2 linked regions of the Struthio camelus genome follow. The main gene of each other region encodes a partner of the protein of the gene in region 2 in a complex. Links are inferred from orthologs where the notes say so. Each region holds a gene or a part of one and is shown on either strand. Other genes may lie near its edges.

Region 1 (16,578 bases), on a different chromosome or scaffold from region 2:
TTCCTCACGCTCAATCTCAATTTTGTCACACAGCTAATCAGGGAAACCTACTGGAAGGCATACAGAAAGGAGAAACCCAGAGCAAGGCTTCACGGGCAATACTCATGACACAAGATGATTCTGCAGTATCACATGCCTGATCCCAGGCACTAGCTTTCTTCAAGTCTGTTTAGTATCACAGAGAGCAGGAAGGCTGAGAGATATGTACATAGGTGAAGCTCTGGGTAGCAAGGTGAAAAGGGGATCATTACAATCAAGCCTGCACTCCCATTACTAAAACCCAGGAAAGGCCTTTCCTTGAGCACTGTGCAAAAGCAGAGCTACGTTTTCCTTCGCGACACTTGAAGTGCCCACAGATCCTTTCTTCCTCTGGCTCCTTCCAATAGAGCACCACTTTCACTGCTGGAGGACAGGGTGAGCACCACCCAGTTTTAGCCACAGATGCAACAGTGCAATGCTACACACCCTGCAACACTGCCACCTAAATAGGCTAAGCAGATTGGAAAGGGAACATACAAGCCAAGGGGCTGCATGTGGGCTCACCTCACAGCCAGGTGTGCGCTGCAAGTCAGGTTCTTTCTTGAGACACTGACTTACCCCTGCTGCTGCTGCTCTCTACATCCTGCTCATTGATTGGAGAGGTAACATCCCGGTTCCGGATATCATCCGCTTCACAGCTGCCATCATCATTGAATGTAACGTAGCCCTGTAGAGGGACCTGCTCTGTGTGCAAGAGAAGGGGAGAACAAGCAAAGAAATTAGGATGCAAGTTACCAGGGAGGCTCTAGCAAGAAGAAGGGCAACCACTAGCAACCACTCGGGGATTTGAAAAGAATCCAAAGGACGGACTGTACTTTCAACCAGCAGGTCCCATTTAAATGGCGCACACACACAAAAAAACAAAACAAAACACACAAACAAAAAACTGAGAAACACATACACCTACAAACCCTCACACAAACACACACCAAATGTACTTATCTAGATGGTACAACTGAAAAGTCACAGGGAAACAGCCTTGTGGCAGAGATGCACCTTACTTACAGAGCTTTCAGCATTTCCTCCCCTCTTTACTCCTGGACTATCAAGGAGAAAAACCACCTGCTCAATAGGGCAAAGTGCAGACTGCACCCCGCCCCAGCCAGCTAAGCACATCCCGTAAAAGCAACCCTTTTGCATCTATGTTAATACACTGGTAGCAGCCTACTATGATATCAGAAGCTGGCAGTACTATTTTGGTACAGTCGCTATCCTTGGATAGCGTGTATCTGTGCTAAGAGAATTAGCCAAACATTACATACGCTTCTAAGCCCCACGTTCTTAGCTATTCTAGACAACAACGTAATGAACTTGAGTACCTGTGGTCATGGACACACAGCAAAACTCATACCATTGTATCTAGTGGTTTATGTCTAAACTAGGACCACCTTTCTCCTTGCCTGTTACACAGGTCTTAATCTCATTTTTAGTAGTGAGTATTTCAGGTGTCACTGAAGAAAAAACTGACAGGTCTAGGAACAGTGAGTTCCCTTTCACTATCAATGATATCTTGGCCTGTGTAACTGCTTACTCCATCATCAGCTTAGGAACTGCTCTCAAACTTTTAAATCTACCTCAGAAAAGGAACTTGGACCGTTTAAGAGTCAGGGCTAAGCAGTGACTAAGCTAACAGCAGCATTTGTTCCACTGATAAGTGAAGCACTCATCAATATCCAGCTCTGACAAGAAAGTTCAGATGTTTTATTTTTAAACCAGAGATTGTATAGCCCTGTAGGAGAGTGTTTTTGCTACCTTTTTCCTGTACAAGCCACACAGGAACCATCCCCGCCCTCCCCCCCCAAAAAAAGCACAGAAATAGCTGCAGAGTACTTAAGAGATCAAAAAGAACTGTTGGTTTAGATTTTAACTTTTCTCACCATAACGAGACTGCTTCTTTCCCCCGATTCCAACTGCTGTTATCTTAGCCAAAGCTTGGGGCCCCTCATGGATGCTGGGACCCTTGGTCCTACGAACAGGTCTCTGTCTCTGGGGAGCAGAACATGATTCATCTGAGGAACTGAGATCGTCATATTTTCCTGTGGTCAAAACAAAAACTGTTAGCGGCACGTTAATTCATTTATCTGCTTTATTTGCTACTAGTCCTGTAAAAACAAACAGACAGAGAGAAAAAAAAAAAAAAGGAAATGTTAAAAGAGAGGGTGAAACATAGGTTAACTAGGTCAGAAAGGGGTCAGCAGACCAAAATTGCCATGCTTGTTTCATTCTCAGAAGTCCTGCAACTTCCAGGGCAGATCAGCTAATACTACCCCTACACAAGTAATTACATGCTTTCAAAACAACAAGCACTTCTCTTCAGGCTCTCTCTAAAGATGCATGAGCCAAACCATTCTTCTGTTACCTGGACCCCTGCAGAAGACTTTGGGCACTGGGGCTGTATGCAAGTCTATCAGCCCCACAATCTTCATATGTCCATACTTCATGGCCAGGGTTCGTGCTGTAGCTCCCGTGTTATCTCTCACATCTGCTTTTACTCCCTATAGAAAAAGAAACACGTACACCATGTATATAGCAAGGGGAAGTATGTATAAAATTCAAGGGAGCCAAAGAATTGTCTTATTTCCTCTAAACCCATCAGAAATACAGGCTCATCTTTGATATACAGTTCAAGCTCCACTAACTAATCCCTTGCTGCTTTCCTGATTAGCTAGTGTCTCCAGTCCTGGAATGCCAATTTGCCCAGGTATTTTGCTTTTGTGCATTGCCACAGGGAACTAGTCCATTTTATCCAAAATATGTTTTTGCCTTGCTGCTTCCTTCTGGAAATAAGCTGGACCAATTAAATGGGATATTAAAAAGGCGCTATTTAACCTCAAGAGACATGAGCGTCCATAAGCTTTAGGACAGAGGGCACAAGATGCCCACTAGCAAGAGCACACAAGCCTATAAACACAACACAGGGGTAACTGCATTAGTTGTTTACCAATTTAGTCATTATTTAGTCAACTCTGGACAGTTAGATCTCACTTCTATTCATGCAAAGCCAGTGTACAATCAGGGCACTAGCCTTCTGAAAATACGCTTCCAGAGCAATTCTGGAAGCTTGGGTCTTCAGAGGTGACTCATCAAGAACTAAACATAACACTAAGAAATCCGGCATCAAACACCCAGTTTTTCCCTCGCTGAGGCCTGGAATCACAGATTTTCAGCTTTACAGAGAACCGCCAGACACTTACATGATTGAGAAGATACTGAACAATTATCTCATGGCCAGCAGCAGCTGCTTCCATCAGAGGAGTATATCCATACACAGGCTCCCTAGAGAGAGACAGAGAGAAAGAACACATCCACATGGGCTGGAATCAAAGAGGATGCATACTTGAAATATTACAGACATGTTTTGGAGATGAATTCCTCCTTACTTGCAGTTGGCATTTGCCCCATTATCCAGTAAGAACTTCACCATCTGCTGATGTCCAGCACTGGTACAGTGAAATAAGGCTGTCCAGCCATGAATATCCTTCATCTCCAGCTCTGCGCCTTGCTTCAAGAGAACAGAGAATGTTCTTTACTGCATCCCTTCTGTGCTGTGATACCAAGAAAGTTTAAATCCCTGTCAGGAAGCTGAACTCACAACAGAGCAAAAACTGTAGCTTGGTCATAAGTGATGGAGAACCCTACTCTTTGTAGATGTAAACCATGTAGTGGTGGCTTTACCTATTTATTACTGGATACGCACCTGCAGAAGGAAATAAGCAACACTTTCATTTCCACAGCTGGAGGCCAGCATGAGCGGTGTCTGCCCTTCTGGTGTTGGGATGTTCACATTCACTCCTGCTTCCAGCAGCAGATGCACAATGGTGTCATGACCAATGTAGGAGGCATACATCAGTGGCGTCCAGCCACCACAGTTCCTCTTATTTAAATCCAGTTCTCCACTAAATAACAAAGAAAAGAATTCCGCTGAAGCACTGGCCTGGAGCTGTAGATCACAGTAGGTTCCTGTACCCTCTTGCTACCATCACTGCACTGAAAGGTTAAAAAAATTCTAGCACCGAAGTCTTGTCCACATGGGAATTCGTATCAGCTCTAGAACAATTTCACCCAATAACTGAGGTGATAATTTTCACCAGAAGACCTGTCCTTTCCAACCTTGTGCCCAACATTGTGCCCAAAAACACTGCAGAAGTTCCAATGATGTGCCCTTGTCCCAGTGTTAGACAAGACTGGAACGACAGCCAGCGAGAAAACATGAGTGGAATTAAATAAGAATAGACCTGCACCCTCTCCAACCCTCCTTACCATTGAATACACTCCTGTACCACTTCATATTGGCCGATGGAGGAGGCTGTATGCAAGTCCAAGGGAACATCCAGTTCCTCTCGACAGATCATCTGACCGACCCCATGCCACATAGAAAGGCTGCGGCTCAGCAGCTCCGACTCACTGGCTTCATCGCTCAGCTCCGACATCCTGCCCAGAGCAACCAAAGCAAAGCGGAACTTTTAGTTGGCTGATCTCACTTCTCTGTTTAACATAGCATCACCCATGGGCTCTACAGCTTCAAGATGCTGCGGGCTTGGAAAGTGAGGTCACCTCTGAGGTATGAGATGTCAAACACCTACCTTTGCCTTAATCCCTTCCTTAGCTTGCTGTAGCCTGGAGCAGTAAGACTTGCCGAGCAGCTTTGCTGGCAATTTGCTGCAGCGGACCCTGGAATTTGTATACACTAGAAAAATAAAAAACAGTAATACTAAGAAATCATCTTTCAAACCTGATTTTAAGACTTCAGAAGCATTTCTTTCTTCCCCCTGCTAACCAAAATATGCCGAAGGCAACTTTTGAAAGCCTTTGTCAAGAAACGACGTTAAACTCTTAAAGTGCTGACAGCATGCTTCGTATTATACTAAAGGACATAATTCCTGGCCTGTATGGTTTATAATTCAGAGAGAATTAAGAATTCATGCATCAGGAAAATACCAGAGACATCTGTCTTATGCTGCAGAATAGCCCTGCTTAAATTACTACCTGCTCATTAATAATAACAGCTATCAACTGCTATCAAAAGGAGTTAATATCATCTGCAGAGAGTGAACACTTCATTATGTCATCAGGCTGTCAGTAGGTTATTTTTACTGTTTATTGTTTCAGCATTTTAGAAGCAGCCTAGCAGTCCTGTCTCTGTGAGTCTTGGAAATGGCTGAAACACACTTTGATGTGCAACACACCTGCCCCTCCATTATCTGAGTGTGTCCACTGTATTGCAGACAGTAACTTAATTACAAAGCCAGCACAGTTTCATGACTGTCTGAAAGGTTTATTTTCCATCCTTAGCCTTGGGGAGCAATTGCGTATTAATCACTTTAACCACTCACAGGAGAACGTTCTTGTTTGGCACTTCATAAAAGCTGTTTGACACAGCTGCATCTATCACTTGATCTCTTCAGCTGCAGTTTCAGGCTACATCCAAGTCAATCGAATGGGGAGTGCCTTACCTGCCCTGTATTCTCGCCACCTCCCATGCACCACTTCTGGAGTTTGCCTGATCCCACCACATGTTATGTTGGGCAGCTAAGCCAGCAAAACCTATTCTTTTTTTCCTGATAATTTCTTGCCAGTTTATCTCCTCAGACCGATTCTTTGCAGGGTCATGTAAATGCCAAATTTGGCGTCAGTGAAGAATAAAGGAGAAAAGGAGCATGTTTTTTTCCCCCACCAGCAGTTGCTCTTTAGATTGCCTCAGCCATAACATTTCAAGACTATCCTTGGATTTTCTAAAGAATTCCGAGCCCTTTTCTTGCAATCACCAGCCCCTTTTCTTACAAAAGGAGAAAAAGGCCTTCAACTCCCACACCCTTCACTCCCCAATTGGATCTTTTCTCTCATGAATTTGCCTTTTTTCCCCTCCTTCTTCCGAAGTTTGTTCAGATTAAAAAAGCATCATCCGTGCTACCTAATAAAGGTGTGCTAGTTAATAAATGATTCATTTTTAAAGCATATCTGCAGAGGCACATGTTTTACACAATAATAGCTATTTCTATTACACTTGCAACACAAAGGCAAGAATATACAGGACTGAATACAAATAAAAGACAGGCCACATCCTGAACGCTTCACAATCAAAATACAAAGAGATATAAATGTGTATAAGTGGATGGCAGGGGAAAAAGGTAGGAGTATTTCTTACTGCAACAGATTAAAGCTACCATTGGAAGGCAAAAAGTCATGTTCACGCTTAAAGGAGGTAAAAGCCATGACAACTTGGAGAAGCCAATTCAGATGAAAATGAAGCTCCCTGTATTCTCTCCATACCTTCTTCTAAAATGAATGTTAACTGTAAAAACTACAGATGCTTGGTCTCTACCAGGATGTTGACAATATTGACACACAAAAAAAGATTATGTTTAAGACCAAAACATTCAAGACTCAGCCTCCTTCCTACTGTCTCCACCATGCTCTAGCTGGCTACATCATCTTTTACTATGAGATTTCACCCTGGCATACTAAGCTGGAGCATGATGCCAGCTGCACACGCCCCGACGAAAATATGGAGGACAACCAGGCAGAATCCAGAGAACAATAAAAACAATCATAGCCCTAAAGACTATGACATACTACGCCTATCAGGATTGTCTGGACTAAAGAAGAGAAGCCGGGAGAGGGCATGTGGTAACAGCCTTCAAATTCAGAAAAGGCTGCTGCAGACAGGAAGAGGAAAGAAGTAATTTGTTCCTTGTGCCCATGATGAATACGACAAGATGCTATAAGTTTAAACTGTAGTAAGGAAGATTTTGGTTAAAGACTACAGAAATTATTCTGAAAGTAAACCAACAGTACCAGAACACCCCTGGAATAGGTACAGGCTGTCCTTGCTTTGGGGCTAAGTAATTAAGTTTGACATTCCTTTGAGAACTTCCTTAGCCCTGTAAGTCTGGTTATTAATCAGTTATACTTAACATACCAACACCTAGCTTATCACCATGGTTAGAGCTGTACTATGCTGAGACTCAGTGCAGATCACAAACAATAGCGTGTTTTGGATTCAGAGAGCTTGGTTGTCAAAGCAGACAAGGTAACCAGAAAGTAGGGAAAGGGAAGTACATGACAATTCATTATGAAAATTGCACTAAACAGCACCTTAGTATCCCCTTTTTGGAGGATAAGGCTAGGAAGGAGTAAGTGACAGTAGATGGAAAGAGAGGTAGAAAAAACAATACTAAAGGAAGCAGGAGGCAATTTGAGAAGAAACTAGGGCAAACAACCTCCATCACAGAACAAAGTCCAACACTGCATATTAATCACTTGCCCATCAGTCACCATTAAGCTGCACTGACTCTGCTAAATTCACTCCCAAGCTCTTCCCCAAGCATAGGTAATGAGGAAACAGCCAAACAGGCCCTGCTGTGGCAAGAAATACCTCCCCAAGAAAGCACAAGTCTGGACACTGCTGGAGTTTCCAAATGAACCACAGAGCTGATCACATACTTCACTTCTGCATCAGCCTTTACCATCTCCACTAAACTCAGCTGGAAGCTATCAAAAACAAGAAGCCTTGTCACACCCTTGCAAAGGTTCAAACAGCTCAGCTGTAACTAGCTCAGCCTCCACACCCAGCACTCCCAGAGCTGTGACATCTCATATCCAGACCGCTGTTTTCTGCTGACTGACCGGAGGCAGGTACACACACTACATTTATGGGAACTGCATTGGATTTCATGGGACTGATGATACCACGACCTAAGTAGGTGTGAGAAAAGAAGTTTTCTCCCAGCATGAGTGGTGGCTGAGGACCCAGCATGCCTGTGTTCAATCCTATGCGTGCCTGCAGACAAGTCCCAGGGCTGCTCTGCTCCTCGCCTGCAACACAGGCGTGACGCTCACAGAGCTGTTAACACAAACACTAAACCCCGAAAACAACAAAACAGAGTTGTCTGGCAGAGCCAGGTAAAAGAGGAATTGAAAGCACTTCAACAGCCACGCTAGGAAGCACGTTTCCTTCGGGGCGGCCGAAGAGGGACAAGCTCGGGTGCAGCCTTCAGGCCGCGGCTGCGGGGGGGAGGCAGGCAGAAGCCTCCGCCCGCGCGGCCCAGCGGCTCCCGAGCGCGTCAGCCCGCCCGCCCGCCTCCCCCGGGGCCCTGCCGGAGCGCTGCGGCGGGGCAGGCCGGGCGCCGCGGAGCCGGCCCGGCCCGCGGAGGGGCCTCCCCGTGGCCGACCGCGAGCGCCCGGCCCGGCCCGGCCCGGCCCACACCGCCGCCTCCGCCGCTCCTCACCTGCTCGCCCGGTGGGCTCCGCTCCCGGAAGCCGCCCCGCCCGCGCGGAGGATGCCGGGAGCCCGTAACCCCTAGAGACACGAAACCACAAGCCCCAAGAGCCTTCGCGGCGGAGGCGCTGCTCCGCCCACTGCCGCGCCTCGCCAATAGCAGGCGGCGCTTTCCGACGGCGGAGCGGCGGCTGGCCAGGGAGAGGCGGGCCCCGCGCAACGGCGGGCGGTCCTGGCAGAGCGCACGGCCCCCGGGAGGCGCTGAGGCAGGGGAAAAAGAGTTTCAAAAACGGCACCGAGGGGCATGAGGCAGAGGTATAGACGCTTTATAACCCTGTTCTCTTTGGGTTGCCCGTTCCGTTTTCTCGTCTCACATAAGTTACGGCGATTTGGTTCAGCTAGCTGCCAGGACCCCGGGCCAGGGGCGGGGCCGGGAGCGGCGCCGGCGCTGGGCCTCGGAGGCGCCCGGGCGGTGCTGTGAGTGAGGGGAAGGGGCGGCGCGGCGCGGGGCGGCGGGCGGGCGCCGGTGGCGGCCCGCGGCGGGGCACGGCGCCGGGTCGCGGGGGGAGGGCTGGCGGGCCGGCCTGGCGGGGCGCGAGCGCCCGCAGCCGTTGGCGGCGTTGCCGTGGCGACGGGGAGGCCGAGGGGCGGAGCTGCGCGTGCGCAGCCGCCCCGCCATCTTGAGGGCCCTTCGGTAGCGTCGCTGCGCTGCCCCGCGCTCCTTCTCGTCCTGGGGTCCCGACAGCGGTGGCAGCGTTAGAGCTGTCTGACATAAGGCTGTTCGCACTTTGCTTAACACACGGTACTGCCTGCTCTTGGAGAAGAGGTATTGGGTTAGATGAATGATGTCAGGTCCGGTATAGCATCCTGAATTTGGGCATCCCGGCCCTTACCTTGGGAGACTGGCCTTGCTTCTCCCGGTGGCAGGGGAAGCCACAGTAAGTGGTTGGTTTTCCGTGGAAATCCTGTTCCTTTCAGCAAACTTCTATGTGAGCATATTTCAGTCTTGGTGATTCCCCCCCCACACCCCGCGAGCATTATGTAAATCAGATTCCAGCATTACCTCATGTGAAAAAAAAACTGTAGGCTGTAGGTGGATGGCACTGGAAGCGTTTGCTTTGTGAAGCGGGACTTTGTGAGTTGTGAACTTCCCAGGGCATAAGATGAGTTTCCCTTTATACGGAGAGGTATGTTGTCAATCCATGCCAATGCACGTCATAATGATATTGTAATGATATGAATAATCAACTCAGTTCTGAACCACATAGTCATAAATCTCTTAGCCTTTCTTACCAAATGGAACTGATTTACTCCCACTTCTGATTTCCCCAGGGAACCATGCAATTGTAGCACAGAAATTCGAAAAGCAAAGGTCTTCCATTAGGTTTAATTATCTAACAAGCACAGTGGTAGCCCCTACTGTGTTTTCTTGACTCCTCTTGTACATCAGCGAAAACATGAGGAAGGCATTCACTCTATAAAGAGTTTGAGAGGTCAAAATCCAAGAGCATGGCGACTGGAAATTATTTTTATGCAAATCCAGTGATAAAAAGCAGTTGTAAATCATTTTATCAGTCTTTGAATAGTGGAGGGGGAGGGAACATGAGGAGAAATGGGAAAGCGAGTTAAAGACCAAATGAGAGCAGAGGTGTCATGCCTCCTCTTTGCCTCTTGACGTGGGCAGTGAGAATGTGCTTTTCTGAGAGCACAATTACAAATCAGCCCAGTCAAGATCTGCTTTATAAATGAGGGGTTAAAATGACCCCTGGATGGCCCCGTTTATGTATGTATATGGTGAGTAGGGCAAAAAGCTCTCGGCCTTGTGGAACTCAGGTGGGAAGGAAAGGCTCCAGGAATGCAGATGTTATCATTCATTGCTGGGAGTGAAAACCCTGTGAGTGTTGAGAATTATGTTGACCCTGAATACACATGCTTTGTTCTTCCTTTGTAATGATGTTATCATTTGTTTTCTCTCGTGATGTGTACCAAGCTCATCTTTCATTTGATTGAAGGGAAGCTGTTCAAATGGCCTCAGAAAGGCAAAGTGAAGATACAGAGTGTCCACCTGAGCCTCTTACAGCTCCTGTTCAGAGTAACAGAGCGTTTCAGTGGGGAGCCATTCTCGCTGCAGTGAAAGATCAGCTCCCATCTCTGGACTCTGACACTTCCACAGTAAGCACGGGAACCCACTGTTCTTTCACAGTTTTTTAGAAAAATCTCTCAAAAGCAAGAGAAGGTCACTTCCTTAGCCAGGCATTTCTGAGTAGCTAGCATGGTGTCCTTGATGGACTGCTTTTTTGTTCTGAGTACTGTTGTAGTGTGTGTTCATTAATCATCAGCCTTCTGCATTAGCTCTAATGGTCAGGATGTAATTGCCACCTCACTTCACTGCATTCTTTGGAACCTAAAAATGGCACTGATTTTCCCAGATACTAAGTAGTCTCAAAGTGGGAAGATGGTGGTAGTGGGCATCTCACAGAATGAGCCTACATGTCGTCTTTGTTTGCTCAGCAAAGAGTACAGTATGAAAGAAACTTACAGCTGTGTTAAAATGAAATCTATTCTGATTTTATCCTTGACAATGTTATTCAAAAAGCGTACTGGCCAGGCAGTAGGCCTGTCAGTATGTTTTCCTATGTGTGATGCTTGCAGGGAAGTCATATTTCTGAAGACTTTGTGGTCGTCTGGAAGAAGGAGTTGGCAGATACTTAAATCCTGGATTCTGTTTTCTTCGTTGCCTGTAATTCTTAGCAAGCTATGTTGCCTTTCTATGCTTCAATTCTACGTGTAAAGGAGGATAATGCCACTTACCTTTTTAATATAAAGTGTGAGATTGATGAGTATTGTGCAGTATTCTTCACTGTTACAGGTTTTTTACCTGCTGTGTCTCAATGTCTGGGACTGACTGCTTATTGGCCACTTGATAACTTGGAAGTTCTCTGCTCACAGGACAGCAATAATTTGGTGGCAGTAATACAAGTGTATACCTCGCTAGTCTGAGATGCTAGCTCTCGTAGTGGCTTTCCTGAGGTGATCGTGTGTCTCAGGATTTGACTGAGTATTAGTGGCGTTCTGTCCAGATCAGAATATTCTCTTAGTTTTCAAACCTGTATTTCTAGAAGGAAAATGTTTCTGAACGCTTAAGGGAAATATTTTTTCCTAACTTAGTGTGCCTCTTCATCATACAAAGGGAGTCCTGTGAGCAGTGACGGGGCTGGAAGTGTCTCCATGGGGTATTAAGCACCTATTATTAGTCAGTCATCAGAAGCAGCGTGATCTAGTGGGTAAAGAGTTGATATGGGTTCCATGACTTGATATCTGTTCCTGGCTTTATCACTAACCTATTGGACAAATCATATTGCCTCACTCTTTCTCAGTTCCCTTCTGCCTACGTTCTGTTTTAGTTATTTAAAGCAAGCATTGCATTTTAATGTGTGTCTGTACAGTACACATTAAGGCCCTAGACTCAGGAATGAGTTCTAGGCGTTTTTGTTGCATAAGTGTACAGTAATGTCATGACAGAAGGATAGCTTTGTGCTTTGGTGCCAAGTACCAATCTCTAAACTGTAAATCACGTTGAACATTTTTTTACTTCTATAAATGATCTCCAGATTTTCTTTGTTTCTGTTATATATTGAGCACATTTCCTGCTGGAGGAACTGAGGCAATCTGTTTGGCACTTACATGCTGCCCTTAATTTGCATTCAAAAGATCTGATTGTATAATCCCTCTCCTGCTTGATATAAAACAGTAGCCTGCTGAGACTGTGGTTTCAGTGCTGCACCTTTGCCTGAGTGGTTTCTGCTCATGTCAAGATATATTTATGCATCTGAGTTCTCTAATCTCAATGGGCTGCGGTCCTATATTCAGAAACGGCAATGACAAACAGTACTTTATGCCCAAAGGGTACTTTGGTCACCCTCATATGCATCTTATTAAGAGGAAAGCAGTTCTACTGCAGTTTCTTCCATGGTGAGTAAAACTAATCACACCAAACAATGAGAATTCTCCACAGTGCCAGTTGCTGAAAGTGTCACGTTGCAAAACAAAGGGACAAACAGGAAACCTGGGTCCTGACTGTCTGCTGAGGAGGTGCTTAATCTCACTTTGGTGTCTATGCATAAAGATTCATGTCAATCATGTATCTTAATGTTCAGGAAAGAGATTTTCAATTCTATTTAAACTCTGTCCAACCAAGTGTGGATACTGCTTTGCGTTCTGAATAGTGAATGAGGCAGTGTAGTCTGTTAAATTGGCAGGTGCATGGGATCATTTGGGAGTTAGAGGACTTGCCCACTCTTGTCCTTATTTAGCACAGGGGGATGTTAGTCATCAATCTCCATGGTAACTCAATGTTTTCTGTAGCTTTTACTAAGGTAGCTTGCTCAAATGCTAGGCCGCTGTAATGACAGCCTAGGTTGCTGAATCAGACTGTCTAGTGAAGATGTGACTGAAGAGAAAATTCTTGTCTCTGAACTTTAGTGAAGTGGTAAAAAGATGAAATTTGTCACTACAAAACAGATATTTGGCTGGAGGTTAGAGTCTCCCATTTAATTTCTCTTTTTTGTTGTCAGTCTGATTGTGAGAGCGATGGGGAGCTTTTCATCTTCCAGCGAGAACATCCAAACTTAATTCCTGACCTGTCAGAAGAACTGATGGATTTTTCCTGGGAAGACTCAAATATGCAGGTTGTTGACTATTCTGTGCACACTGTACTACCGTTAAACCCCCTCCCCACTCTTTTGTTTGTCTGCGATGTGGGTAGTTACTTTTATTGAACCTATTTGACTGAGTTGTGTCATGTAAGAGCATAGTCCCCAGTACTACTTTCTTTCTCTTTATATAGCTCCTCTTGTAAGCTCTCTCTGCTGTGGAGATTTAGGCCTTTTTTCCTTTGTCTCCTCTTCCTGAAGTTTCTATTATTGTCCTTCTACTCTTTTGTCAAGACCTATGACACTCCTTAGTTCCTAACGTTATGGATCTCCTCTCTTCCTCTCTAAAATCCTAACCTTCACTTTACTCATGGTCCTGTCTCTCAAGAAATCTTTCAGCCTCTTCTAAATCTAACAAAACATATTTTGAATAATGTACCTATTGAAGATGAGGAAGGTACTGGTTGTTGTGTAATAGCAGGTGCCCAGGGTGAAACAGAGAGCAAACTACTAGTCAGAAAGAGCATCCAAATATTTATGGGTTGATGATAACACTGAATTGTTAAGGAAGAAGATGCTGCTCGCTGAGTCTGTGGACCTTTCTGTAATAAACTCGGTGCCTGCAGCTCAGTTGCTGAACATTCATACCCTCAGGATGAGGGCTCTGTGAAGCCACTAAGCATCCATGCGTTAACAGTAATGCTCTGTAACGGCTTCTAAACTTTTCAGTGGTTGCTATAGTTTCAACCACCACTTTATGTATCTAGAAAACGTAGAAGTAGGACATGTGGAGGACTAATGGAGGACAAAGAGGACTAGTATGAATTTAGTCCCTTGTACAGCTGTTCTGAGATAAAATGATTACATTATATCTGCAGTGATGAAGACTAGTCATCACAGGAAGCTGGAAGATAAGCCAGCTGACTCTGTTATTTCATCATGGGAAGACTAACTTCCTGGGCTGCTTTTCCCATTCGTTTATCTTGGTGTAAGACATCACGTTATGACCAGACGTAAGGCAAATTAACTTCAAGGGCATTTAGCGTTTTCTGAAGTTAGAGACTTTGCAAAGTAAACAGTCTTACTGTTTTCTGTGACAAAGCATGCTGTGTGCTGCTACCAGATGGTGTCTGATTTGGAATTGCTGTCTGCCAATCACTTTGTTTTGGCTTATTGTCCACTTCTGTAGCTTAGTAAGAAGATGTGATTTTTTTGCATGTGTATTTGCTCTACCTGTAGCAAATACAGGAAACAGCAAGACATCCATGGGAGGTCTGGAATGAAAACCTGGAAAGTTTTGGCTTGCAGAAAGAAACAGATGGTGTCCAAGTCATTGCAAAAAAACATATGCAAGTGATTAAAGATGAGACTTCCAGTCTTGCCAGCCATACTGAAGAAATTCCAGGCCAAAAGGGAACGGTTCTTGAAGGATCTTTTGCAGATTCCACAGACCATCTTGAGGAGAAAGAACTGAGCAAGAGACAAGCTGGGGAAACAGGGGAATTTTGGCTTAATACAGCGTTGTCTATGGAAGATCCAGGCAGTGAAAAAGAGAGAAGAAAACTGATAGAGACAAAAATACTCTCTAAAATATTTCTGGAGCCATCACCAGGCCACCCAGAGCTGAAAGTGAAGCCACCCTTGGAGGGCATTAGCAGCGTTCTAGAACGAATCACTAAGGAGCAAACTTCCTCAGCTGAACATCCTCAAGAACTAACCCATTTGTCGTTGCCGGTAAGTGGGCCAAACAAATGGTTTCAAGGGGTGATGTTCATGTGTAGGGCGGACAGTGTATTGCATACAGAATTGCACTAAAATAAAGAACCAAAATGCTGAATTCTGCACATACCACAGCATTCTTTGTTGCATTTATTGCTGTCATGAACTGGGGTTTTGTTGGGTCGGATGCTGTACAAACACAGAACCAAAAATACCTGATCTTTGTTCCATAGAGCTGTCGTAGAAAGTTCGTAATAGTAGCGAAAGCCATTGATCAGCAGCATGGTAGTGTTCATATTCGGGAAAGCCAACCACAAAGTCTGTCCCTGGGAAGATGTGAATGGTTTCTGTTCACAGTAAGACTTTTCATTAAAACTATGAGGTTTCTGGCTTTCTTGCACCTTGACTTTTCTTCTGTGGTACTGCACTAATGCTAGAGGTGAGAAGAAATGTTCTGAAATCCAATACTTAAGTGTCTCTTCTTGAACCTCTTCCACCTAAGCCAAGTGCTTAGATTCATGAGCTGACCAGTTCACGTGCACTCGACTGGCACATAGTCCCAGCATTGACACGATTGTTCGCGACAATATTTATTTAGTTCCTACGTTGATTTTAAAAAATCATTTAGACTTAGTCAGCAAGAAGCATGAGAACATGATATTTTTGATTAAAGCCTTCCATGGAGTCAAATTACAGATGTCTCATTTCCTCTTTCATCTGTACTCCCAGAAAAATTTCCTTTTTGGAGTTAGAGCCGTTACAGTTTAGGCACAAAATACAGGCGCCTGCCTGTGTTGTGAATTATGCTGCATTGCTTAATCATGTAATTATTGGAGGAGATCTTTCTCAGGTGTTTAATTCCTACTTCACCTAGCATAAGTCACTTGCTCTAGTAATACTAGAGGTATGGTTCTCCTTTCAGTACGTATTTGATAACATTGACTTCAGTGGACTTAAATTTGATGTTTCTGGGTGAGTGCTAAGACCAGGCTCAGTGTGTTGTATCTTTGTGCAAGCGAGGATAAAACTGGATCGTATGTGTACACGGGGCATGTGTTTAGATTTGAAAACTAGTTGTTATGGCCCAGCTGAGACAGATGACTCAATTTATGTCTAACTTTAAAGATATTAAAACTCATATATGTAATTTCTTGTTTATTCTAACCATATTTAAGACTAATTGTTAAGATTTAAGACTCATTTAAAACTGATTTTTTTCTTTCTCAAAGTATATTTTCAAGTTCCTTTCTCTGCTAGGAGCTGAATCCTGCAGATCTTCGTTTATTTTTCTTGGGGACCCGGTACAGTACCTTACAATATGCTGATTTCTGTGAATAAGGTTTCAGAGGATAGAGACTTAGTAATGCAGCAGGTTACGTGACGGTTTGATTTTTTTATTACAATGATTTATATTAAATTATTAAGCACAATTTTTAAAAATAAGCTAAGGACTGATTGCATTATAATTAAAGCAAATGCACACATTGTGTTTCCCTTCAGGTTGTTTGCTCACAGCTGCCTTTTGTCAAACAGCACCTGTACTGAACTGTGATGTGTTTCTCGGGGTAGTAAGCTCAGTTGTCTGTCACTCTTCACCCTTTCCAGACCAATACATCTAAATGATATTGCTGAACCAAGATTAGTTTCATGTCAGCGTAAGAGGCTTGTGGCTATCATCAGGCTTTTATCTTTCGTCACCTGCAGACTGTAATATCAGAATAGACCTAATCGTGGTTCAGTTACCCATGGAGATCTATTGGTCTGGAAAGAGTGAACATCATCTCTTAGGTGAGAGTGACAGACAATGAAGTTTTTTACAAGGTGAAACTGTTTCGAGGCTGGTGCTGCTTTTCTGAAAGGCTTGAATGATCGTATAAAATGCATGGTTTTGTTGTAGTTGTGACATAATTATATGTCATAACTGATAGCCAACTTCCTTTTTAAAAAATC
Region 2 (16,744 bases):
CAAAGCCTTCCTTCAGGTTGCAGCTCTCTGTTGAAAGGGAGGGGATGAACCACACCAAAGACTTCATGATTATGTTACAGTCAGGAATATGCACATGGACAAACTTGCCATGCACGCAATCCAGTCAGGTACAAATCCAGCTTTCAGTGGTATACAATCAGATTTTCTGTGCCACAGCCACAGAATGCATCCTTATTCAGTAAGGATTATTAGATCCACTGCATACACAAGGCTTTACCACATCCAGAGTCTGTCTAGGTGCAAATGTCATTTTTGCATAGCACGAAGCCTAAGTCCGGAAAGACTTCTGAACCTGTGCTGACTTGTGCTATATGTTCTGCACAACATTCTTCGATCTGTACTATATTGGGATGGACTGCTAAAGCACGAAAGCATTTCCATATAAAGTCTGTCCAGGTCCATTCGGACTTACTAAACGATCACAATTTGGACACCTAATTCCCATGGTGTTTTCCATTTGCCTTCACTGCCTAACTCTCCAGGCTTCTGGAGGGAGTACTAGCTCAGCAGAGATTGCTGCAGAGCTTATATTCCATTCTTGAGTGCTGCGGCAGGAGGACATATTAGCTCAGATTACAGATCTGATCTGTTGTGCATTCATCCCTGGTCCACTCAAAAATAAGTCCACTGGAACGCACAACACTTGGGAGCATGTTGCAGAGAAACATGCTGTAGCTGGCTCTGCAAAAGCCACTCCAGATACGACCCAGCAGAGCAAACTTGCTAACTGCACAGGCACTAGGGTTCCTGTCCATCATTCTCCAGGACCTGTATTACAAATGTTTCTTCACTGCGTGGGGCATCTTAGTCCCAAGTAACGGCAGATTGACTTGAGGGAATACAAGCACACAGGATACCCTCTGAGAGATTCTCATAAGTCTCATAGGTCTCAGTGAACTCAGGAGTTCGTTGAACATGAAATTTATTCTCACATGAGAACAGTATCTTTCAATGTTTGAAAAAAATATATTTAAGAACCAACTTTTTTATTGCTGAATGACAGTCAGTTTTCCTGACTGTCCATACAGCTAGGATAGGCAATAGTAGGCTGCAGGTGTTATAATAGCTGAGAATATATTTGCATGGCAAAACAGCAAATATAAGAACAGAAACCAGATAAGGTTCAAACCTCTCTACCCTGTCAGAGAGGCCACAAATAGTGCAGAGTTTTCTAACCTGTGATATATGAGGAACTTCAGCAGAAAGGGAAGAGTCCTATTTCCCAATTCTATGCCATCAGGTGGCAAGACTCAGGTCAAATCTATCATCTCAGCACTTTTTCCTATGCTGAGAGATTCAGGAAAACAGGTAACCAGAAAACACTTTGCCATCCACCAAGAGCGCAACCCATCAGTGTCTGGATCAAACTGAAATCAACAGGATGAACCGGCTCTTTCCATTTCCCAAAGAACAGATTTTGTGCGTGCTCATGAAAAGTAACTGTTACTCATGAGAACACAGGCAAGATCTTTACTCTTTTCTTGAAATAGCTTTAAAGAGCAATTACAACGCTCGTATGGAGTAGAAGCCAACATATTTTTGCACCAATTAGTGCTTTTGTTTTCATGCTTCAAGTTTATCAGGAAGAAAAGAGCTTTTTAAAGCAAGCATGGACTTAGAATAACTGGAACTACTAAATCACATCATTTTGGCATGAAGGACACAACCACAAGCTGTAAACTCAGACTACAGAAATAATTCTATTTTTAAATTAAAAGAAAAATAAGAAAAAAAACAAAGTAACATATAAAAACAGAACACATTGTCTCAGTTTCCCATTTTAGCAAAAAGGCATGCCCTGCAGTTGCAAGAACCAGACGTGGAAAAATCCTGTCAGTACTTACCCAATTTCAAAGCATGAAAGACATCAGGTTGCCTCTTTTCTGTATCTGGAAAGACATAAATAGTTTTATTAACAACTGCTACAAAACCAAAAATTTCTAGTAAAATTCGTATAGCAAAAAACGTAAACAAATTCTATATATAATTACTATAAAAGATTTGTGTGGACATATGGAGTCAGGAAGAAAGAAAGTACAACATAACCTTTACGTTACCTATGGGAGAAATGGCTCACCTGTATAGCTTTCTGTGCACAGTTAACTTTACGAAATATAATACATTATCAGTAAAGGTTTCTGCTTTTCAGTGTCCATCCTGTAACAGGAAACGGTATTTGGAAACTTCTGAGTTTCAAAACTGAGAGACTAAAATATTACTTAAAGAGCTACAGTGAAGTTCTGTGGAATCATGTAATCCTCTGTATAGGCATAAACATTCAGCAAGTAAAGGACTGTTTTGAAAAGTGACTCAAAAGGAATTTTACAAGATGCTCCTTCCTGCCCCCCCTTTGAGTTTTGCCAGATTAATTTGTGACCTTCACAAAAATATTGGTGATTTAACCACACAGCTTGTTTGCTACTTGTGCATTAACATAGATCCTTCAGCTCCCAGTTCTTCATCCTCAACATAAGAACAGTAATTATTACAAAGTTAAAATATTTTGAGTGAAAGATCTTACTTCTTACTGACTTTCAAAGCGCTTTGAAACCACTGGCACAACGTAGGATAAGGAAAAAACCATGAGTTATTTTGCTCCTTCCTTTTCTGACTCAAGTCAGAAAAATTCATCGTCCTGCGTCCTAAAGCATTTTTTACCCCATTGATTCTGTAGTGTCAACAGAGTTTTAAAGAAAACGAGGAGATGTAGAGAGACCTCCTCAGTCTGAATCTGCCATTTTTATGAGAATGCAGAAAAGGTTAATGTTCACAGCTTGACTTCAGAGGAAGTCATTTGCAATTGCTGGCAAGCCTGAAAAATGATGAGAAGCTCTTAAGATATTTTAAGGCTGGGAACTGGAGCTACGGGTCCTATGTTTGTTCCCAGTTAAAAAACGGTTCTTACAGAAAAAAACTGTATGAGCCCACTGTTTGTTGGGCAACGGATTTCAAAACCCAAGTTTAGGAAAGGCCTGGACTCTTTGTATTTGGCTTATTAAAAGCCTGAACAAGAGGCAGCCTCTGGGAGCAGGAGACCATGATGAGATGCTGAAAGACAGGGTTATACAGACCGCGTAACCCAAAGCAAGGACAGGGACAGGACACAGGGAACAACAGGGTAGTTCACATTTTTGTTACTGAAAACAGTCCTGCAATGAAAGCCCCTTGTGTTTGGGATGCAATTCCCTACAGCAATGGATCAGAAGACAAGTTCCTTTTCTGCTGCCTTACATCTGATTGAGAGAACATTTCCCGCCCCCTCTCCTCCCCCCCCCCCCATATACTCTGGTGTTCGCAGAAGATCAAAGCTACAGTCAAACACCACCGTGGAAATATCCATGGAGGTTAACATTTTTTAATCCCTCCCTGCCCCAGTTAATTACTAAGTTTCTGCTGATGGAAAATACCCCTCAGCAGAGATGACAAGAATACACATCTGCTTTTAATGCAGAGCTTCCTGCTGCAGGTTAAACAGCCTTCTCTGACAGTTTAAGCTGCATTGGATGATTATGGAAGATTTTTTCTCTATACTGCAACTAACTCATGTCTATTGTCAGAGACTGGTCGTGGACAAGCGTCTGCGCAGTTCACCAGTTCTGTCTGGTGGCTTGGCTGTATGAGAGTCTGAGCTCCCACTTGGTCACACGTTGGTGTGGAATAGGTTAAGTTAAAATCTTCTCTGAAGCAGAAAGAAGTGTTAGATTTCTGTTCTTTTTTCTTAAAGTATAATGGAAGCTTGACCTGCAAGAATGACACCAAATTTAATTAAAATTTACAAGCTTTAACCAAGAGAAACATGGCTGTATTGGGACCGTGGCTATGTCCAGGCTGCAGTGTAATACAGAGATAATTACGTAAGCTTTAAGTAAGTCTATTTGGGCAAAGCAGCAGAAAGGGATGGGGGGGACTAATTTACTCTGCAGGCTTTCAGCCACCGCGGCCAAGTTGTAGCACCTGGCAGATGTTCTTTTTAGGGCTAGCCACATACTTCGGTTTTAAAGCAAGTACTCCAATGAGGAAAAATCTAGATGCCTATCCTCTCCTGCAGCTTTTCCAAACCCTCTTCTTAAACACATCCCATCATCTGTCTACATTATAAAGCACAAATATCTTGAAATGCGTCCCCAAATAGCCACATACAGAATAAGGTCTCAAACTTCGAAATGATTTATTGATGTTCTAATGACCAAAGCAAAATGTCTCACTTTAGAAGCAGATTTAACACATTTCTGTTGGCTCCAAACTTCTGGAGAAGGAAAAAGCAGCAAATCCATGATACTTCAATGGAATTGGCATAAGACATTAATAACATTTTTATAAAACTTGCTAAAAATAAAAGCTAAGCTAATTTGGAAAGATATCTGGGAGATATATCCAGTACAAATTTGCATTCATCTTTTTATATTCATACTTTTTATTTTATTTATCCACTGAGAATTTTTAAGAAACTAAATTCATCAGCATTTCAAACTGACAGATAACAGTGAGCAGTTGTAACCTTTCTCTTTAATACAAATCCTAGGAAATTACATGCAGAAAACTATCAGAGTACGAACTTGCTTAGTAATTCAAGTACTCAAAATAGAGTAAAAATAATTAGAAAATTATTAATAACAACTTGCAACATATTATTCTATTCTATACAGAATAATCATCATTTAGAGTGCAGTACTGGATATACTATTTTAGACTGAATGAAAAAAATTTGTAGTCAAAGTTTGCTTGCATCTTTCTAAACCTTGAAATCATCTCATGAGATATTACCTCTCTCTGTAAAATCTTGTACTTCTTATACCCTCAAACTACCATGGCTACAGCTACCCTACTGCCACAGATTCTTTAATCACACAATCACAGAACGTTTCTTCATCTGCTCTCATCTCATTCAGTGCACATAATGCATGCATTATGGGGCAGAATTAAAGCAATCATAAAAGCAGCATTTCTTAACTTCATTTTACTTGAGATTTGCACTGAAGTAACGTGCTTTTAATCTAGTTTGGTATACACACGAGCACAAGGTATGTGTGTTTGTATGCACGCATGCGTGTTTGGGAGGAACAGGTTCCTTATGCATTCTATGAAATCCTGAGGTTAATTCATTGATCAGAAGTTTTACAAAGACGTTTAATCTTGAATTGTGACATTTCAACTGCTGGAGATTCTACACCTCTGCTAACTCACTCCAGATCTTAGTTCCACTGCAAAACATATTTCCCATCCCATTTTGTAAGGTTAACATTAGAAAGATTTTTTCTTTGGCAGGTAAAGAGGTCCTTCATTATTGGATTTTTTGTGCTTATGTAGACATTTTATTAATTGCATCTCATAACCACCTCGCTATAGAACTACATAGACTGCAATTCTTCAGTCTTTCACTGTAAAGTAGGCTTTCTAGATTTTATATCTGGTACGTTTTGAGTTTATGATATCCTTTCTTTGACATCCTTTCTAGTTTTTGACATCCTTTCTTCAGTGCCATGTCAAGTAGGCCTTTTTAATTCCTTCCTAAATAAGCATCTGTCTCATACATGTTAAAGATAAAAAAATAAACAGTAAAGAAAACGTTTTAAAATGTTTCAAGCACAAACTTCACTGCAGAACAGGAATTCCATCACGCCACCATGGAGGAAATCTGTGAAGTCGGGTATGCCTGCCCTACCCAAGGTAGGTGTTTCTACACCAACGTTGATCTCCTAGTTCAAAGGCTCTTAATTATATGTTTAAAGAACATAACGTTCATTAAAAAAACGACCCCTTCAATTTGCAAATATATAATCAAGACTTCAGGAAAGCAAAACAAAAAAGTTAACACACTGTACCTGTCTGGGGTCTGATTGTTGTTAGAGATTCCAGGTAGTCCTTCATGTCTTTGTGTTTGAAGCCAACAGAGATTTCAAAAGGCGTTTTATGTAGTACGTTCAGATGATCAGGATTGGCACCTTTGTCCATGAGCTGCTGGGCCAAGCTCACTTTTCCACTAACAGCTGCCAGCATTAAAGGACTCCAGCCCATGGTCTTCACAGTGTAATTACAGTCAGCTCCCCAGTCTAGTAACAGATGCACCACTGCCTCATGTCCATGCTGGGCAGCTGCCATTAGCGGAGTGATATCTGGTAGGTCCTCTCTGCTGCTGCTGCTCAGTAAGCTTGTACTAAAATGGTCGTAGTTGTCTACGAACGCTCCAGATTCCAGCAACAACTTCACCATGCTGACGTGGCCACCTCTGGAGGCCATTGTGAGTACGCTGGCTCCTAACTTGTTCTGTGCATTGAGATCAGCGCCATTCTCCAGAAGGATGTGAGCCACGCTTATATGTCCAAATCTTGAGAAAAAGAAAGAAAGAAAGAAAGAGATAAGGAAGAGAAGATAATGAACTCCTTAGGTAGTAGAAGCTTCTCTCAGAAAACTGACATACTCTGACAACATGGAAAACCTGCTTACCAAATTGGCTCCTTGACTAGTCAACGGAAAGGAGCGAGCTATTACATGTACACACCACTACATGAGACAGTGGTCACCTTCACTGGAGGGGAGTGATCAACAGCTGAAGCCTGTGCCTTCCTGCACTGCTTTGCCAAGGTAGGCGACCACGCCCATAGTCTAGGCACTGCTTTAAGAGGATGTCCCGGCCAAAGCAGCAACGCGCTAGCCTCATTTTTAACTGCAGGAGGATATCAAAAGCATAAATTCCATAAACTCTTCATCCTCTCAATTCTAGGCCTGTGTCACAGTCAGGAATCAAAGTCAGCTTGTTTGCATACGGTGAATAAGTGGAATAAAAACGTCAACCAATCAGTGCTGAAGAAAAAAAAAAAAATCAGGCCACTTCATGAGATGGTTAGACAGTCTTCATATTTGCACCATCCCTTCCTTTCCAGTTTCACCATTAAGCCAGCCTCAGTACCACTTGACTATCAGAAGCTCTAGTAATTTGTCAGTAAGCTACAGCCAATCATGCAAGCCACACACATAACCAGCTAGCTAACGGTGAGAAAATGGAAACCCTTTACCCCTCCTCAACTGCGGAGAAATATCATGTTTTTATAAACGTAATACATATATAAGATATATTTTGTGCTTCTTGATGCAGATACCATGCGTTACTATATGCTCGTGCGGTGTTTAATGCAATCAAGCTTGGATTCAGAAAGCAACTCTTCTATACTGCAGCAAAACAAATGTTACTTGAGGAATCCCTACAGAAGGCTACTAACCACTAACAGCAGACAAAAGAAAATAAACAGTTGCAGAAGGAACCTTCCAGGGACTGTCTAGTCCTTAGGTCTATTCATGTAGATTAATGTTGAGCCTGTCGCCACCATACATCCTGCAACTACTGTGCATGTGGTTAATGTTATGCACGTATGCTGTTCAACAGGACTAAATACAGCCAGAAAATTAAACGTGTATATAGTTCGAAACCTATGTTTGAAAGGACTTTGTATTTTCTTCTTCTTTTTTTTTTTTTAAACAATTAGAGAGTTATGGTGATTTGCATTTATTGTTTTTAGAGACTATGTAAGGCTTTCATTAAGGCAAAAAAAAAATCTAATAATGTTTCTGTAACTTTTATCCTTCCTTTTTAAAAAAAAAAAAAAACCTTCATAAAATAACAAAACTGTTGAATGTTGTCTTCCTTGTTCTTACTGGAAAACTAGCTGTATGACTCATTCTTTGGGAACTTTCTATGGGCTTTAATTGAAAGGAGAACGTTCACTCTCAAACAAAGTTTTTTCTTCCAAGTATTCTAATCTATTATGAAACACAAAAAACATTTCTCCTCTCATTCAAGCATTCAATTATTATAGGGAAATACTGTCCCTAATCTTGCAAAACATGCATGATAATCCACTATTCGTGCAAGTAAAGATAAGCACTAATGCACGCATTCACAATACTGGAACCTTCTGTAACTCAGTAGCAAGCAATACCAAAACTATCGTGATAGATGAAGAAAAATATCCAGCTTTGTCCTTAAAGTTTTAAGAAATGATTTTCCATATTCTCCAATGAGCCATTTAGGAAAATATGGAAAAGTCAAGTGAAAATAAGTGTTTCCATTTTCCTCATTACATTTTAAATCTGAGATGGTTACTCAACAGGTAGATTTAAAAAAAAAACCCAGAAAATTAAAGTCATGCATGTATTTTATTTCCATCTAATTGAAAGAGAGGCATAATGTTTTCATGCCCAAGTTACCTTCAAAAACTTGGGAAGCAGCGATTCCGCACTAATTTTACTCATGAATTAACGAAACTCGCCTACAGCTTTAATTACCACACCTTTAAACGCTACCTTAACCCAGGCGCCTATAGAAAGAGGAAGGGGGGAAAAAAAAAAATTTACGCTTGACAATCCATTCTCAGAGTCATCTCCCGGAAAGGAAACAGGTGACTATTCACATCTGCCGTAATACCCACCCTTGGAACACGGATACATTAACCAGGCTTTACGACGTGGCATTTCGCTCGTCCGGCACGCACGGGCGCTGCCCCCAGGCGCCTCCCCCAGGGCCTCGCCCGGCAGCCCCGCGGCCCCAGCCCTGGCGCCGCGGCGGGCAGGGCGGGAGCGAACCCGCGGCCCCGCGGGGTGGGCGCTGCCGCCCGGCGGCGGGGGCCGCGGCGGGCCGGCCGGGAGGACGGCTGGGCGGACGTAGCCTGCTCCCTGGCTGGGCAAGCGACGCCGCCCGCCCGCCCGCCCGGCGGCGGCCCCGGCCCCGGCCCCGGCCCCTACCTGGCGGCCTGCATGAGCGGGCTCCAGCCGTAGTGGTTGCGGCTCTGCACTGAGGCCCCTTTCCGCAGCAGGAACCGCACTAGCTGCTCGTGGCCGCCGGCCGCCGCGAACTGCAGCCCCGTGTTGCCGGCCTCGTCGGTGCCGTCCACGGGCACGGGCAGAGCGGAGGCGGCGGGCGCCGTCGCCCCCTCGCCGCGGGGCTCCGCCGCCGCCGCCGCCTCGGCGCCGCCCGCCGCCTCGGCGCCGCCGCCGGGCAGCCCCAGCAGGCGCTGGGCGGCCTCGCAGTCGCCCTGCTCGCAGGCGCGGAGGAGGAGCTGCACCGGCGCGGGCACCCCGCACTCCCCCATGGGCAGCGCCGAGCGGCCCGGCCCGGCCCGGCCCGGGTCAGCGGCTCCGCGGCCGCGGGGCGGGGCGCAGCGGGGAGGAGGAGCCGCCCCGGCCGGAGGAGGTGGCGGAGGGGGCCGGGCTCGGCTTCGTGCTGCCGTTACTCGTTCCCAGCCCGGGAGACGCGTCTTTTCCCCCTAACGTGTTTTTTTTTTCCCCAGCCATCACAGCAAGTCTTCATTATACAGCTCGTTCACTCTCACCCAACATAGCCTTTCCCCCCCTCCCCCCACACTTTGTAGCACGACTTCTGCAATTTAGCTCAGTCTTTCCAAGCCAGTCCCATTCTGGTTATGTTCTCCCTCAGCCTTTGCTTACACCTTCCTACTTCTTTTTTGCTTCAACTCAAACCCTTCACTGAAATATAGAATTTGCAGCCAAGTGATTCTCCAACAAGAATATTTTTTCCCCCAGACATCGCCAATCTGCTGTTCTTTCAGTTTAAAGAGTTTGAGTGTAAGACTCAGATGACTTGCAGGGCTGTGGCAGTGGTTGGCCCCCACCACCTTAAAATCCAAGTGTCTTCTATCTAGCTTCAGCCTCATAGATAACCTGAATCTTTTCCAAAACCGGAATCTTTTCCACATTATATGGATTTATAACGGCCACAGTGAGAAGAGCACCAATGTAATAACTGTCTGAGTGCAGGTGACCAATCATTTTAGAATACTGTATTTGTGTTCCTGTAAGTCCTGGCAAATCACTGTTAAAATCTCTGCATCATCTCAATAGCATGTTACTTACTGTAATGGACCAATGCCGGAGGGTTTGGGGAAGGGAGGACTAGAAGGGATTATGGGCAGGGGAGTGAAACCATCAAATGCCACTAAAATTAAGCCATTTAAAGCCGCTGGTTTTAGAGAGCGCCTCCCGTATCTTCCATTGTATGTGGCTTTCTTCCTCTGATCCACTTGCAAATCTGGACTGCAAGATCTTCATGGCAAAGGGCCCAACAAAACACACTCAGAGAAGGCCTCTATAAATAAGAGCACTGGCCGTGTTTGTGGCAGCTCGTACCAGTTCTCTGGAGAAGGACAGAAGTAGATCCTCACAGCAAATAAAAAAATGACTTACCTCTTTGCAAATTTATCATTACAGAAAGAATATGACAAGTTCCTAGAGATGCTGAATAATAGTCATACTTCCTCCATTATATATATCCCGGAAAATATCTTCCTTAAGCTTGAAGATGGTTATACTGGCCATCATCTGAGGCAAGGTACTTGGCTGAGTAGACTCGGCCTAGCCCACAACAGCCATTCTTAGGTTACTGCAGTGTGAGGAGTGTGCCATTATGACTAAAAACCGGACAGTACAATTGCTTTCATGTGAGATTTCAGAGCTTGAATGAATGGAATGGAAAGAGTACTTAATGGAATACATCATTCAGGATTCAAGAAAACTGCATCATGCTTATCGTATCAAAGTGCATGCTTTCGCTATCGTCTAATTAGTGACAGGCTCACTCCAGTTTATCTTTGAGATAAGCTATTGCACATGTTGATCATACAGATCTATGTTACGTAGCTGATGATTATGCTATCAAAATCTACTAATGGATTGAAACTACAGACAAAGATATGCATTTAATAAGGAACCTTATAGCAAAAGATGCAACTTTTATTTTAAGGGACTCATTAAGAAGTAATAAAAATATTTGTTGGGGTTTACAAAAATGAGAGAGGAAATTATTTATGCTAAATGCTGCTGTTGTCATCTCATGCTCATTGCTGCCTTCAGTCCTAGGCATTTGTTTATACAGGTATGATCACTCAGTGACTTCTACCACCGATAGAGAACGAAAATACCACTGAGAGGGCAAAAATAATCAAATCTCTTATGAAATGAATCAAAGGCTATTCTTATAGGGTTTCAGTACCCAATGGGAAATATAGGATTTGACTTCACAGCAAACAACCTAAGTCTTTCAACTAGTTATTAGGTTACAAAAATAGGGAGTTCTTAGAAGAACAAGAAGACAGGAGAAAAAAACCTCAAGGTTCTCAAGTGCAGACTATGTCCTTTGGAAGGTCCACTGCATCTTCATTTGTGCACAGCCAGTGAAAAACACATTTGTTTTCATGAGAAATGGCTTCAAGTTACCAATATACTAATTTGGATAAGTCAATGTTGGATTGCACTAGGGTAAACATGGGTATCATTTAAAATGACAGAAAGGAAGTGAACGAAAAAAATCACTTTAGACTAAAGGAGACAGAAAAAAAAGTGCAAGGAACAGAACAAGCACACCAAGGAAGCAGTACAGATAAAGCAAGACCAAACATCTAAGGCCAAAATTTGTGAAATTTATTCTGACAAAAGTCTCCACTGAAAGTGATATCAAAACCCTAGTGGGGAGATAAATGGGCCACTATAAGCTCTGTTAAAGCTATTCATACTACCGGGTGAGAGAAAAGAGATAAACCTAGAGCCATCTTCCTACAAGAGATGGAATTCATCACTTGCAAAACAAAGCCTAGGAAACCATTAGGGCATGTAATGTGCCTGTGCAACTTGTAAAGGAAGTATAACATGGTGAATGGGCCACTGCCCATGTAGAACTATAAACTGGCCAAACAATAAGACAAAAAATTCTGTTGTTCCTACAGTACTAAATAGGATATCATGCAAATGGACGTATCCTCATACCATCAAACAGGAGAAAATTTCTACTTCATATAATAATTCAGGGTTTCATAATATAAAAGACTGTAGAATTACAATCCTAATCAAAAGCTTCAGAAAGGGACAAATGCAAGTAGCCAGAACATCTGTTCCTAGAGAAATCCGTAAAACTAGAGATACCTGACTCAGTCATAATCTTCATTATGAAAGTTTGGGGAAATGATGGCATCTCAAATCCACAAATACGATGCCATATTTATATGGCTATTCAAGGAGTAAAAGGCATATTTTCTACTCTAAAACCTTACTGATGTGAATCACAAGAATGTCATACTTCTGAGAAAAAGAAAATTGAAATTCTTAACATGTGCTCTGTATAAAGGATCTTGTGTATCTCTCAAATGAAAACAAAAGAGACACACATATTAGAAACACAATCAGAGAAAAGCAGATACTTGTCCAGTATCATCAGACTCATATTTGTTAACTGTGGTCTTTTCAGGCATAGAAATAGAAATAACTTTGAGAAAATGACTAAAAAGAATGGTAGTGAGTGCCTATAGTGGGGGATGACTAAGATTAATTCTACCACTTAATATCCCCTTCAGTTCCTAGTTCAGACTTGTAATCATGGCATAAATAACAGGTCTCCATTTTGTCTACTGTAAACATCTGCTATAACTTTGTGATAAAATTCTTTCATTTACAAAAGTCTTTCTGAATATGCCATAATTTTGCTGAAACTTTCAAAAGCTATTTCTGCATTTCAATTTCCCATGTCCACACAAGAATGTATGAAAAATGGGTCACATTTCAAATATCATAGGCCTTGAACAGTCCGTTCTGGAACATGTGCACAGAGCTGCAGTTCTGTTTTAACAGTTTCTGACAACTAAGTTTGCTAGTCATAGCTTTCTTTATGTGCGATATTTATTCTAATATCTGCAGTACATGCTTGCGATTTAGCTAAAGAGAACATTTATATATATGCAACAATACATACGTATAACAAGTATTTCTATGCCTTTGGCATGTACTTCCTTACTATCTTTAAGCTGTCGTAGCTTGCATATGATCCTCTGAGCAAGGTATTTTGTGTGTGTGTGTGTGTGTGTGTATACTTATGTGCATATATGTACATATATGCATTATATAGATCTGCAAATAGTACAGGTTAGGTACTGTGCAGGTATAGTCTGCTGAATACAGTCAGTTTGCACTGACTTGCCCCTATCAGAATTACCCAGTATTCTTCAGACTGATACAAGACCCCTGAAATAGCTGACAGCTTCTATCTCACTTGTCAAGTCTGTGTTTTTATGCCATTTTATTTTTAGGCCTGTGTACCCACTGCTCTTCCTCTCCTCTAAATGCCTGATGTGCTCTGTCTCTGCCTACTCGCCGTGCACCCAAGTTCCCTCTACACCCAAAGGCCGCCCTGCAAGACAGAGTCACACAGGCGCGCTGAGGACCTTATCCCTTTCATGTCTTGTCCACGTTTGCAGCTGCTGCAAATAACCACACCTTGAACACAAACACAATCCTGGGCACCAGTAGAACAGCAGGATGAATAATCATATTGTAAAAATACAAGCATACTTGTGCTAACAAAGGAGAGAATAAGTAGCCAAGGCTGTTGCTTTGCAAGGCAATGCTATTTTATGCCCATTTCAAGTGACTACGAACAATGACCGGTGGGTCCAAAGGTATATCGCTGAGTATACTTCATCTGAATCTTCTTTTTTATCCCTGAGGAGATTTTCTACCTGTCTGCAATATATTTGTCCACATGTTCCTCTGATTTTTGTTTTTTTTCAAGAGTACATAGGTCTTGCTTATTATTAAAACTAGAAACATTATTCTGAAACACGTTATTTGGTACTTTCTGTTGCCCAGAACAGACTATTGCTGACTGCAGAGTGCCTCCTTCAGTCTTTTCACATGGGTATTATTTAAGTTCCTTTGTTCCCAGCTTCACATTGTCTCTCTCTGAACCATTTTAATTATGTGATTATATTCTTGATTTCCTTCTATACTGTTCTAATACTTAAAATTAACTCTGCATCAGAACTGTCCTGTTTTCTTTTTCACTGTTCTTAATTTTGCTCTGAACCTGTTCTGAATCTCCCCCATTCATTTCTTTTGGGAGTCCATGGGCAGCTCCTTTTTTCTTTGACTCACTCCAAAAGGGCCTCATTTGCTTACTGCTTCTTTTGTCCTAGTCTAACTAGTTTGCAACCCAACACAAAGGGGAAAACTCAGGACTGCTTGTTCCAGACAACTTAACCTAAATCAGCAGCATATACCAGAAATGTTGGCTTTATCTTAAAGGTTTCCCCCTCCACTAGCCAGCAACTAGGGTTCCCTAGCTATAAACTCAGTATCAACAATGTTGTTTGGGCTTCCTTTGTGCAGAAAGAATGGCAAGCAGCAAGACAACATAATCACTGGACATACAATTACCAGTGCCACTAACTATCCAGGTCCAAAGCTTGCTACGCCTATCTTCCTTTATACAGAATGTATGTTCTAATGTCTAGCATATTAGTATTTACTAGTTGGCTGCCAAGCATATTTACACAAACATACATCCTTAGTATTATGCTTCAGTTATTCTGGCTTTTAAATATACTTCCAAATTCAGTTTTATGTTTATACACAGTTATCCATGCTAGATAACTGTATAGATGAATAAGAGATAATTAAATTATATATGTACACGTGCACGCACGCACACACACTTATGTCCAAATCCACTTAAAGTACTTGATACATGCTAGCTTGCCAGCAACACAATCGCTCATTATTATTCAGCATCCTTCTCTTCAGAGCAAGGCCTCCACAGCAGTTGACTGCCTCTGTGTTAGCTGTCATGTGTAATTTTTATTAGTATCTAGGCTTGGGCCTAAGCTAGGGAAAGTCAGAAATAACTCATAGCTGTCATTCCCCATTGTAATCTGTACAGTATGGCCCTGTCTGGTAATGACCAGATTTTTTCCACTTCTTTAGCATCAAAGGTGTTGGCATTCATCGCTCGGCAATGCTGGTGAGCACCACCTGGGACGTTCTCTGTCTGGGAACGACCAGAGTCAAGTTTAGATTAAATGCCAGTTTTGTTCCTCCCCTGCCCCAATTCTATCAAGTCATGAAATGGGCCGTCCGTTATCCTGCTAACAAACTGGGGGGTCTTATTTGTCTTTTGTATTTCTAACTACGAGGTCACCTTTTTTTTTTTTTTTTTGCAACCAAGAACACTTTTCTTCAATGCAACAGGAGCTTGTCATAAATGCCCTGGCTTCTGGACTCATTTTCTGTTTATTTTGAGAGGGCGCGCTGCTCTAGCAGCAGCGGAACTGCTGCAGCCGGCGCCGCTGGGGACTCGCTGCCTGCAGCGCCGGAGCCCTCGCGGCCGCCCGCACCGGGCCGGTGCCGGCAGGGCTGCGCCGCCGCCCCGCGGGGGGGCTGCCGGGCGGCGCGGGGTGGCCCGGGCCGGGCCGGAGGGAGCGAGGGAGGAGCCGGCGGCAGAGCCGGGCGCGCTTCCTGGAGGGGGGTGGCGCCGGCTCAGTTGAGCGCCTTGTGCAGGTCCGGGAAAACTTTGCGAAGTTGGCCCGGGGCGCGCCTCTCCGGGTGCGGGTCTGCGGGGATGGGCGGCCGCGTGGGGCGCGGCGTGTGCTGGGGCAAGCGGAGCCGCGGCCCCCGCGGCGGGGGCGCGCTGATGGCCCTGGGGCTGCTGGCGGCTGTGGGCTTCCTGGCGTGGCGGCACGGCCCCCCACCCCGCGCCGCCGCCCGCGCCGCCGCGCCGCCGCCCGCCGACGCGGCGCAGCTGCGGAGGCCCGTGTACGAGAAGCCCGCCGCGGAGCCGGGGGCGCTGGGCGAGCTGGGCCGCGCCGTGCGCCTGGAGCTGAGCCCGGCCGAGCTGCGCCGCCAGGAGGAGAGCATCCGCCGCCACCAGATCAACATCTACCTGAGCGACCGCATCTCGCTGCACCGCCGCCTGCCCGAGCGCTGGCACCCGCTGTGAGTACCGCGCCGAGCCCGCCCGCGCCCGCGCCCGCGCCCGCCGAGGCCGCTCCCACCTGCCGCGGCAAGTGCCGCCGCCTGGGGCGGCGCCGCGCCCCGCGCTCGCTGCTGCGCGCTGCAGCGCGGCCGGCCTGGCCCGGCCCGGCCCCACGGCAGCGGCGCCCTCCCGCCCGCCACCTTTACGATCCCAGTATTTGCTCACGGAGTCAGACCTGCGTCATTTCATCTGGCTTCTGCCCCTCTAAAGGGCAGACGAGTAAATACGCGGATGGTGGGGGGGGGGGGGTGTAGCCGTGAGAGGCTGGTTGCCTCCGCTAGCACCACCAGCGTTTCGGCCTGTATGAGTCGTGGCATCCTGCCGTGCTTCTCCTGCTGCTGTCCCCTGCACTGATCGCTGTTTAGGGCGATTTAGGCAGTATACTTTTCAAATCACCTCCAGCTTTTTTTTTTTGGCCTCCTAAACGTCAGCTTTGGAGTACTTGGAGTAAACGTACTTGGAGTAACGTACTTGGAGTAAAACATCTTCTGCTACACTGTATAGAGCAGCTTGTTTTGACAGCAAGAGTATTCAGATACATATTTACCAAGAGTGTACTGCTTTCACATAATGCCCCCAGAGGTGCATAGCCTTCTTCTAAATTGGGGCTTCACCTGTTTCTGGATAATCCGCTGCTGGGACAATTGACCAAGAATGCTGGCATCAGCAATTTTTAAATAAGGATTAAATGCTAGTGGATGAGATGGTTCTAGTACAGGCAGGCAGCGGTCACAGGAGTCCTGGAGGCTGTGCTGTGCAGCAGGTCTGACTCTACGACCAGTTCTGGCCTAATGCAAGAAGTACTCTGCTTTGTTCAGTCACTCCTCTCAGAGTGGACTGAACAGCCAGCTGGTGAGAAGAAAAGTCTAAACTAATAGAGTTGACCAATTATGGGTATGTGTCTCCAGCCAAACGGGAGAG

Evidence for each region.
Region 1: the proteins of ANKS6 (region 2) and ANKS3 are in contact, whole or in part, in a crystal structure (PDB 4NL9), measured with the Homo sapiens proteins. The link is inferred for Struthio camelus from reciprocal best matches to the Homo sapiens genes ANKS6 and ANKS3. Residues at the interface, in NP_775822.3 of Homo sapiens: Glu796, Gln797, Glu798, Val799, Asp800, Glu802, Ala803, Thr806, Leu807, Asp811, Glu814, Leu815; in NP_597707.1 of Homo sapiens: Lys441, Tyr442, Thr470, Leu471, Phe472, Gly473, Pro474, Arg476, Lys477, Arg484.

The regions. Positions count from the first base shown.
Region 1 is NC_090956.1:18,023,818-18,040,395, reverse strand, and holds the start of ANKS3 (ankyrin repeat and SAM domain-containing protein 3), read right to left. Parts: upstream 8,315-16,578; 5' UTR 8,268-8,314; intron 4,727-8,267; 5' UTR 4,623-4,726; intron 4,471-4,622; 5' UTR 4,470-4,470; coding exon 4,300-4,469; intron 3,936-4,299; coding exon 3,737-3,935; intron 3,585-3,736; exon of another isoform or gene 3,542-3,584; coding exon 3,420-3,541; intron 3,316-3,419; coding exon 3,234-3,315; intron 2,535-3,233; coding exon 2,399-2,534; intron 2,076-2,398; coding exon 1,917-2,075; intron 724-1,916; coding exon 598-723; intron 1-597. Other genes in the region: DNAAF8 (dynein axonemal assembly factor 8), read left to right, coding at 8,562-8,572, 10,270-10,429, 12,832-12,945, 14,149-14,643. UniProt on the Homo sapiens protein: May be involved in vasopressin signaling in the kidney.
Region 2 is NC_090943.1:73,345,965-73,362,708, forward strand, and holds the start of ANKS6 (ankyrin repeat and SAM domain-containing protein 6), read right to left. Parts: upstream 9,142-16,744; 5' UTR 9,105-9,141; coding exon 8,758-9,104; intron 6,597-8,757; exon of another isoform or gene 6,466-6,596; intron 6,347-6,465; coding exon 5,844-6,346; intron 1,911-5,843; coding exon 1,866-1,910; intron 1-1,865. Other genes in the region: GALNT12 (polypeptide N-acetylgalactosaminyltransferase 12), read left to right, coding at 15,410-15,783.